Linked DNA regions of Oryctolagus cuniculus. The protein of the gene in region 1 interacts with the protein of each later gene in a biochemical or structural test. Links are inferred from orthologs where the notes say so. Each region holds a gene or a part of one and is shown in the gene's direction. Other genes may lie near its edges. The genes, in order: ARIH2 and CKB.

Evidence for each region.
Region 2: of the proteins of ARIH2 (region 1) and CKB, one has a biochemical effect on the other in vitro, tested with the Homo sapiens proteins (2 studies listed by BioGRID). The link is inferred for Oryctolagus cuniculus from reciprocal best matches to the Homo sapiens genes ARIH2 and CKB.

Annotation. Positions count from the first base shown.
Region 1 is NC_091441.1:100,171,589-100,175,386, reverse strand, and holds part of ARIH2 (E3 ubiquitin-protein ligase ARIH2), read left to right. Parts: intron 1-1,388; coding exon 1,389-1,540; intron 1,541-2,482; coding exon 2,483-2,626; intron 2,627-3,568; coding exon of another isoform or gene 3,569-3,594; coding exon 3,595-3,663; intron 3,664-3,798.
Region 2 is NC_091451.1:46,359,679-46,364,182, reverse strand, and holds CKB (creatine kinase B-type), read left to right. Parts: upstream 1-1,512; 5' UTR 1,513-1,670; intron 1,671-1,925; 5' UTR 1,926-1,943; coding exon 1,944-2,136; intron 2,137-2,225; coding exon 2,226-2,380; intron 2,381-2,456; coding exon 2,457-2,589; intron 2,590-2,764; coding exon 2,765-2,936; intron 2,937-3,412; coding exon 3,413-3,536; intron 3,537-3,637; coding exon 3,638-3,827; intron 3,828-3,903; coding exon 3,904-4,082; 3' UTR 4,083-4,274; downstream 4,275-4,504. UniProt on the Homo sapiens protein: Reversibly catalyzes the transfer of phosphate between ATP and various phosphogens (e.g. creatine phosphate).

The DNA of each region.
Region 1 (3,798 bases):
AGTTTAAAGAAGGGTGGGCCCAGGACCCAGCACATTGCTGATTTCTAAGAAGCTCCCTGTGTGCCTCTCCCCAGTCAGCCTCCCCATCCCTCAAGACTCTGAGTTAACTACAGATCTTTGCTTTGCTGTGTAATTAATTATACTGCTTATAGGAGCAACCCTAGCCAATGCGGTATTTGAAACAGTAGCAAGCACAAGTTGCCAGGGAGAGGGCAGTATTGCCGCTGTTAGATGAAGGCTCCCAGGAGAAGTTGAACAGCCTTTGGGTCTCTGGGTTTGGCTTTAGCTTCCCTACAGCTTGACAAGAGCCTAAGCAGAGTTTACCTACCACTGTCAGGGGCTCTGCAGACAGGACATCATCTACATTATTGGACATACAAATGAACTGTGGTTGACCCTGCTCCGTTAGGCTGTAGTAATTCCTGGGATGTACGGCATCCATAAGGGTATCTTAAATTTTTCCTTTTTGCTTCCTTAGTTTGGAAGCAGAGTCATGCACCTCCCCACCTGCCCTTCCTCTCCCCTTTTCTCTCCCTCCCTCCCTTGCCCGTCTCTGTGCCTTTTAATAAATAAATAAATAAATCTTCTTTAAAAAAAAAAAATGAAGGGAGGTGCTGGCATTGAGGTGCCGTGGGTTAAGTCACCACTTGCAGTGCTGGCATCCCATATGGCTGTGGATTCAAGTCCCACTTGCTCCACTTCCAATCGAGCTCCCTGCTCATGTGCCTGGGAAAGCAGCAGAAGGTGGCCCAAATACTTGGACTCCTTCTACCCACATAGGAGACCCAGATGGAGTTTTGGTCTCCTGGCTTCAGGCTAGTCAAGCCCCTGCCATTTGGAACGTGAACCAACTAATGGAAGATATTCTCTCTCTCTCTCTCCCATCTGCCCCCCGCCCCCCACTTCCTCCTATAACACTGCCTTTTAAATAAATAAATCTTAAAAAAAAAAAAAAAAAAAAAAAGAAGAGGACCAGCTTCACATACAAACATCTTCCTAGGTCAAGTGTTAGGAAGATGAGAGATAGGATATACAGATGGTGTGTGTTGTAGCCAACCAGGTGGGCTTCAGTTGGACAAATTTCTGCTTCTTATAGTGGTACTGACACAGCAGGCCCGTGGTCCTTGTATAGTCTGCACCTACCTATGTTGAAATTAATAGACACAGAGCGCATGTGCTCATGGAATGGTGAATATCCATAAGCTGTCATATCAGCAAGGACAGGCCTCAGGGATAATGCGAGGTAATGTTCCCTCTGGAAAGAGGCAGCCAGGATGTTCTAGTCAGGTGATACCTCCGGGTCTGTCCATCCCACTGCTTTGCCAGTGCCTTGGAGGGATGTGGGTTTGTCTTACGGCTATAAGTGACTCTCCCTTTGTTCTGTGCAGACTTCTGCTGGATGTGTCTAGGAGACTGGAAGACTCATGGCAGTGAATACTATGAGTGCAGTCGGTACAAGGAGAATCCTGACATTGTCAACCAAAGCCAGCAAGCCCAGGCCAGGGAGGCCCTCAAGAAGTACTTGTTCTACTTTGAGAGGGTAGGCGTCTTTTCCTGTGCCCATCCCACCAGGGTGGGCTTCTGTGGTTAGCCTACCTGGGTGGGCTGACTGGGCTGACTGGTAGCCAGAGCCAGCCTGTGCATAGAGAACGCAGTGAATGAAGCTCCTGCCAGTAGCCCTGGTGCTACCTCTACACCTGTGCCTTTTAGGCTCTACTGGGTAGCCACAGCTGGAGAGGGACAGGGAACTGACCTCAGTTAACGATGGATGAAAGGATAATGAAGACTCATTAGACAGTTTTCATTCCAGTGCTTTTAAAAAAAATTATTTATTTATATTTAAAATAGAGAAAGAGAGATCTTCCAACTGCTGATTTACACCCCAGATGCCTACAACGACTAGGGCTGAGCCAGGCCAAAGCTAGGAGCTTTATCCTAGGTCTCCCCTGTGGGTGAAGGGGCACGAGCACTTGGGCCATCTTCCACTGCTTTCCCAGGCCACAGCAGGGAGCTGAAATGGAAGTGGAGCAGCCAGGGCATGAACTGGTGCCCATAGAATGGCAGCCTAACCCACTGCGCCGCAACACTGGCCCTCCAGTGCCTTCTTAGTGGTCAGAATTAGGGAATGGTTTCCCCCAGGGAGACCCTTCAGAAGTCAGAGTATGACAGTTGGTCCCTAAGCACAGTAGACTAGTGGGGGCCCCCGCTTTGCTTGGCTGTCAGGGCCAGAGTCCCGTTTCCCCAGCGGGATGGAGTACTTGGGCAGGCAGAGAGCTGTTCTGAGGGTTTACTGAAACTGTTCTCGTGGGTGCACTGAAAGCAAGCCCTTCCTGCACTGTGGAGGCCACACACACTCCCCGTAAGTTCAAGGAGTCTGTCGTCATGCCCTGCCAGCCAAAGGTGTGTCCTGAGTGTGTGGACCTGTGGACTTGTGGACCTCCTGGGATTCCTGCAGCTTTCTCCTTCTCTCTGTGCCCTCTAGTGGGAAAACCACAACAAAAGCTTGCAGCTAGAGGCGCAGACATACCAGCGGATTCATGAAAAGATTCAAGAGAGGGTTATGAATAACCTGGGGACGTGGATCGACTGGCAGTATCTACAGAACGCTGCCAAGCTCTTGGCCAAGGTATCTACCACCTCACTCTTGGATCCCCTCTCCAGTGCCTGGCCCCCATCAGGGCACACCTCTGAGGGTGGGAGGTCTTGTGGGGAGTGGGAGTCGTTAGCACCCTGCACAGCCTAATGTGCTTCTGCTGACAGACCCACATTTCCTTGTGCTGGGCCCTTGAGGGACTCAGTCCTTTGATGGAAGTCAGAGGCTTTTTTTTTTTTTTTTTTTTTGACAGGCAGAGTGGACAGTGAGAGAGAGAGACAGAGAGGAAGGTCTTCCTTTGCCGTTGGTTCACCCTCCAATGGCCGCCACGGCTGGCGTGCTGCAGCCGGCGCACTGCGCTGATCCGATGGCAGGAGCCAGGAGCTTTTCCTGGTCTCCCATGGGGTGCAGGGCCCAAGCACTTGGGCCATCCTCCACTGCACTCGCTGGCCACAGCAGAGAGCTGGCCTGGAAGAGGGGCAACCAGGACAGAATCCGGCGCCCCGACCGGGACTAGAACCCGGTGTGCCAGCGCCGCAAGGCGGAGGATTAGCCTAGTGAGCCGCGGCGCCGGCCCCAGAGGCTTTCTAAGAATAGTGTTCTGCTGCCTCTGCCTGCAGGGAAAACTAGAATCCCCTTCCTCTCCCTTTGTCCCATCTCTGCGTCGTGCAAAGGAAAATGAAAAGATAGTCTTCGGACAAATATTGAGATAGATATGTGGACTCTGATGTCCAACCCAAGAAGGAGAAGTCACTGAGGCAGTGCTGGTAATAAATCACAGTTTGAAAAAGGAAAGGTGGGTGTCCTGTGATCAGTTCTGTTCTGCTTTCCCCATGTCTTGCCCCAGTCCATCTTCTCCTTGGCTTGGCTCTGATTCTTTGAAGCCCAGACCTGTAGAGCCAGGTTAATCTGCATGGTGGGGCAAGAGTTTTCAGAGCCACCTGAGGTAGAGGTAGGTTAGAATCACAGACACAGGTCCCTTCTCTTCTCTCCTGCTGCAGTGTCGGTACACTCTGCAATACACCTATCCCTATGCGTACTACATGGAGTCTGGACCCAGGAAGAAGCTGGTAAGGCAAAACCGTCCCTGCACTCTGCCCTGGTAGCTTCAGAGGCGCCCTTTCCTTCAGCTCAGGATGGGCCCTGAGCGTTGGGAGGGCAAACTCAGAATGCAGCTATTGAAGTGCAGAATCGGGCAGCTCCAG
Region 2 (4,504 bases), on another chromosome or scaffold:
CTGGCTTAAGGAACACCTGCTGTCTGGCCGTTTGTCTCTTTACTTGGGTTTTATGGCTCTAAGAAGCGCAGAATACCAAGGTGGGGGAGGGGGGAGGCAGGAATTCCCTCGGCAGCGGCCGAGGGCCGGGACCTGGGCCGGGGACACCACACCCTCCAGGGCTCACTCTGCCAGAGGCCGACCCGCTCTCCTGTGCTCTGCACCTGTGCACCTGCCGCGGCTCCAGGGCCCTCCCTTCAGGGACTCCTCCTCAGTGCCCCTCAAGCCTGGGCTGCTGCGCTGGCCGGGGGGCTGCCCGGGCACCCCAGTGCACCCCGACGCGGACTCACGGTCGCCCTCCAGCAGCAGGGCTGTGCCCTTTCTCCCGGTGCTGCCCACGTGGTCCCCAGCACCTGGCACCCCTCAGGTGCTCAGGCACAGCTGTGTGTGGAGGAGGGGTTGTAAAAGCAGGCAGATACGGGCTCCTACGCCGTGAAGGAGGGACAGGATGCCTCCGCTCGCCTGACGCCTGATACTCCTCCCAGGCAGATGCCCGAGACCCTGGCCAGCCCCGAGGGTGGCACCAGGGTCTACCCGGTCTCTTCTCCGATTTCACTCCCACTCCCGCGTCACCTGGTCCGCTTGCGGAGAGCCCGGAGGCTGTCCTCGGGGTGGCTGCGTTCCTAGAAGTGGGCTGGCTGGGTCACAGAGTTCGAACATGTTTTGTTTTCACGGACACTGCCAAGTTACTCTCCAAAAAGGATGCCGGGGGCAGGAAGTGGAACTGGCCCCCACCTGGGGTTGGTGTGTCTCCTGGATTTCCCCAGCCTGGGTGGGTGGTTTTATTTCCGGGATTCCGACTTAGTGAGGCTTCCTCAGCCTCCCGCGGCCGGCTTCCTCCCCACCTTAGCCCAGCGCCTCTGGGCCGCCTTGCGGGTGGGGTGCTGGGAAGCCGTGCCCGGTGCGGAGGCCCCGGGGCGAGTGCCCTCTCCTAGGAGGAAGTGGGCCCCTGGGTCTCCTCCGGTTCGATGGAGCCCATGGACTCGCCCAAGGTCGGCCCCCGCGGCGCCGCGGGGTTGGGCCGCAGCCAGCTCGCCCCTCCCGCGCCTAGCGCTGCACCCGATCGCCCGGGAGACGCCCGCAGGCACCTTGAGGAAGGTCGGCGGCTCCGGGCCGCTGGGCCGGGCCGGGCCGGGGGCAGCACTGGCTGCGGAAGCCGCGGACGCTTTCGCTCGGCCCCTCGCCGCCAACCTCGGGGACTGGCGGGGATGAGAAAAGGCGGGAGTGGGGTGGGCAAGGACCCCAGCGTCCTCCAGCGCCCGGTGGTTCTCGGGCCTCAGTTTCCCCGGCCGATACAGTGAGTGCGCGAGGGGGAGAGGCCCAAGATGTCCAAGAACCGGGGTCCCGCGCCGGGGATCCCAGGCGGGAGCCGGCGGGGTGGCCGGGTAGCGCGGGGTCCCGGCGAGGGCATAGCAGAGGGGGGCTGTCCGGGGTGTCGGGGGCTGCAGGCGACGGACAAAGCCCCGGCACCTCCCCGCTGCTCGGGCCAATGGAATGAATGGGCTATAAATAGCGGCCAATGGGCGGCCCGCATCGCGCCCCTTAAGAGCCTCGGGAGCGCGGAGCCGCCGCTGTTCGCCAGCGCCGCGCCCGGAGCTGCAGACCGAGCCCCCAGCCCGCCCGCCAGCCTGGTGAGGGGCCCGAGGGACGGCTGGGACGGTGGCGTCGCGTGCGGAGGGGCCCCGGGGGCCGCGGCGCCGCCTGGAGAGCGCGGGGGGTCCCGCCAGGGTCCCTGGCGATTGCAGGCGCCTTCCGCGCGCGCTGTGGACCCGCTGACCTTGGCAGCGTCTGGGGGGCTCCGGGGCTTTGGGCCGCGGCGCCGGGAGTGGTTTGCAGGGCCCAGCGGCCGGGGCGCGCGGTGCTAGCTGACCCGCGTCTCCCCGCAGTCCGCCGCTGCCGCCGCCATGCCCTTCTCCAACACCCACAACACGCTGAAGCTGCGCTTCCCGGCCGAGGACGAGTTCCCCGACCTGAGCGCCCACAATAACCACATGGCCAAAGTGCTGACCCCCGAGATGTACGCCGAGCTGCGCGCCAAGAGCACGCCCAGCGGCTTCACGCTGGACGACGTCATCCAGACCGGCGTCGACAACCCGGGTACGCGCATCCCCGGGCCGGGGTCCCCGGCGGCGGCGGCGGCGCGCGCGGGCCTGGCGGTGACGTCTCTGCCTTCCTCCCGCCCCCAGGCCACCCGTTCATCATGACCGTGGGCTGCGTGGCGGGCGACGAGGAGTCCTACGAGGTGTTCAAGGAGCTCTTCGACCCCATCATCGAGGACCGGCACGGCGGCTACAAGCCCAGCGACGAGCACAAGACCGACCTCAACCCCGACAACCTGCAGGTGCGCGCGCGGGCGGCGGGCGGCGGGCGGCGGGCGGGGAGGCATCCCGGCGCTCACTCCTGGCCCCCGCACCCAGGGCGGCGACGACCTGGACCCTAACTACGTGCTGAGCTCGCGGGTGCGCACTGGCCGCAGCATCCGGGGCTTCTGCCTGCCCCCGCACTGCAGCCGCGGCGAGCGCCGCGCCGTCGAGAAGCTGGCGGTGGAAGGTAGGCGCCAGGGGCGGGGGTCAGCCGCACCACCCCTCCCCGCTTATTAACCAGCCACCCGAGCCGCCGCCGCGCCCTTGTCTGCGCCTGCCCGTGTCCGGAGGGGCCGAGGCCCTGAGGCCCTGCCGGGCACCCAGACGGGGCGGGCTCAGCAGTGCGCCGCTGTTGTCCGCAGCGCTGTCCAGCCTGGACGGCGACCTGGCCGGCAGGTACTACGCGCTCAAGAGCATGACCGAGGCGGAGCAGCAGCAGCTCATCGACGACCACTTCCTCTTCGACAAGCCCGTGTCGCCCCTGCTGCTGGCCTCCGGCATGGCCCGCGACTGGCCGGACGCCCGCGGTATTTGGTGAGCGCGTGGCCCCCTGCGCTGCTCGCCACCCCGCTCCCCTCGGGAGTGGGGCGCACAGTGGCCGAGGAGGCCGAGGGAGGGGCCGGGTGCGCCCGGTTTGGTACTGCCTCGGTCCTGCGCAGGTGACCTTGGCCGCGCAGGGTGGACGGAAGCCTCAGCCTCCGTGGGGCGCAGACGAGGGCCCTGGCTCCTTGTTGTCTTGTTTTCCCTACCTCCCTCGCCTGGCTCCCGTTCCCCTCGGGATTCTGGCAGGTGCTGGGTGACGCAGGAGCTTCCTGCCAGTGAGGGCGGAGCCGCCGCCGGGGGCCTCGGCGCTCAGGGAGCAGCGCTTCCCCTGGGTGGGGGATGAGTGCTGCCCCTGCCCCCCACCCTCTGGTCTCCCTGTTTCCCGCAGTGTTGATGGGGCTGGGGTCTCGAGGCAGCCCCTTCCCCGGTGGAGTGGGGGGCTCGCCCTGACGGGGCCTCTCCTCCAGGCACAATGACAACAAGACCTTCCTGGTGTGGATCAACGAGGAGGACCACCTCCGGGTCATCTCCATGCAGAAGGGTGGCAACATGAAGGAGGTGTTCACGCGCTTCTGCAATGGCCTCACCCAGGTCAGCGCCGGGGCCGGGGGCAGGGCAGACCCCAGACCCCAGAGCGCAGGCGCGGGCGTCCTCAGGCCACGTCCTCATGCCCTGTGCTCCACCACCTCCAGATCGAAACGCTCTTCAAGTCTAAGAACTACGAGTTCATGTGGAACCCTCACCTGGGCTACATCCTCACCTGCCCCTCCAACCTGGGCACGGGGCTGCGGGCAGGCGTGCACATCAAGCTGCCCCACCTGGGCCAGCACGAGAAGTTCTCCGAGGTGCTCAAGCGGCTGCGGCTTCAGAAGCGAGGCACAGGTGAGGGGGGCAGAGGCTGCAGGCAGCCCTCTCCCCACGTCCTCCTCTCTCTGACCTGGCTGTCTCCCATGCCCAGGTGGTGTGGACACGGCCGCCGTGGGCGGGGTCTTTGACGTCTCCAACGCCGACCGCCTGGGCTTCTCCGAGGTGGAGCTGGTGCAGATGGTGGTGGACGGCGTGAAGCTGCTCATTGAGATGGAGCAGCGGCTGGAGCAGGGCCAGGCCATCGACGACCTCATGCCTGCCCAGAAGTGAAGCCGGCCCGTGCCTGCCACCAGCCCCGCTTCCTAACTTATTGCCCGGGCAGCGCCCACACGCACCCCGAAGTTCACCCGGCGGCTGAGCCCTTAGCCTCGCTGTAGAGACTTGTGTCGCCCCCGGTAGAGTCTATTTTTTTGATGGCTAAGATGTTGCTGATGCTGAAATAAACCAGGGTTTTGGCCTGCCCTCCGTCTCTGCGTGGTGCCTTCCCTTCAACAGCCAGGCCACAGGGGTCCTGGTTCCGCCTACTGGCCTCCGTTCCTTTTGTTTTTCTTAAAGATTGGAAGGCAGAGTGACAGACAGATATCCACCTGCTAACCCTAACCCTAACCCTCCCCAAATGACCAAAACAGCCAGGGCTAGGCCAGGCCGAAGCCAGGAGTCAAGAACTCCATCCAGGTCTCCCACGTGAGTGG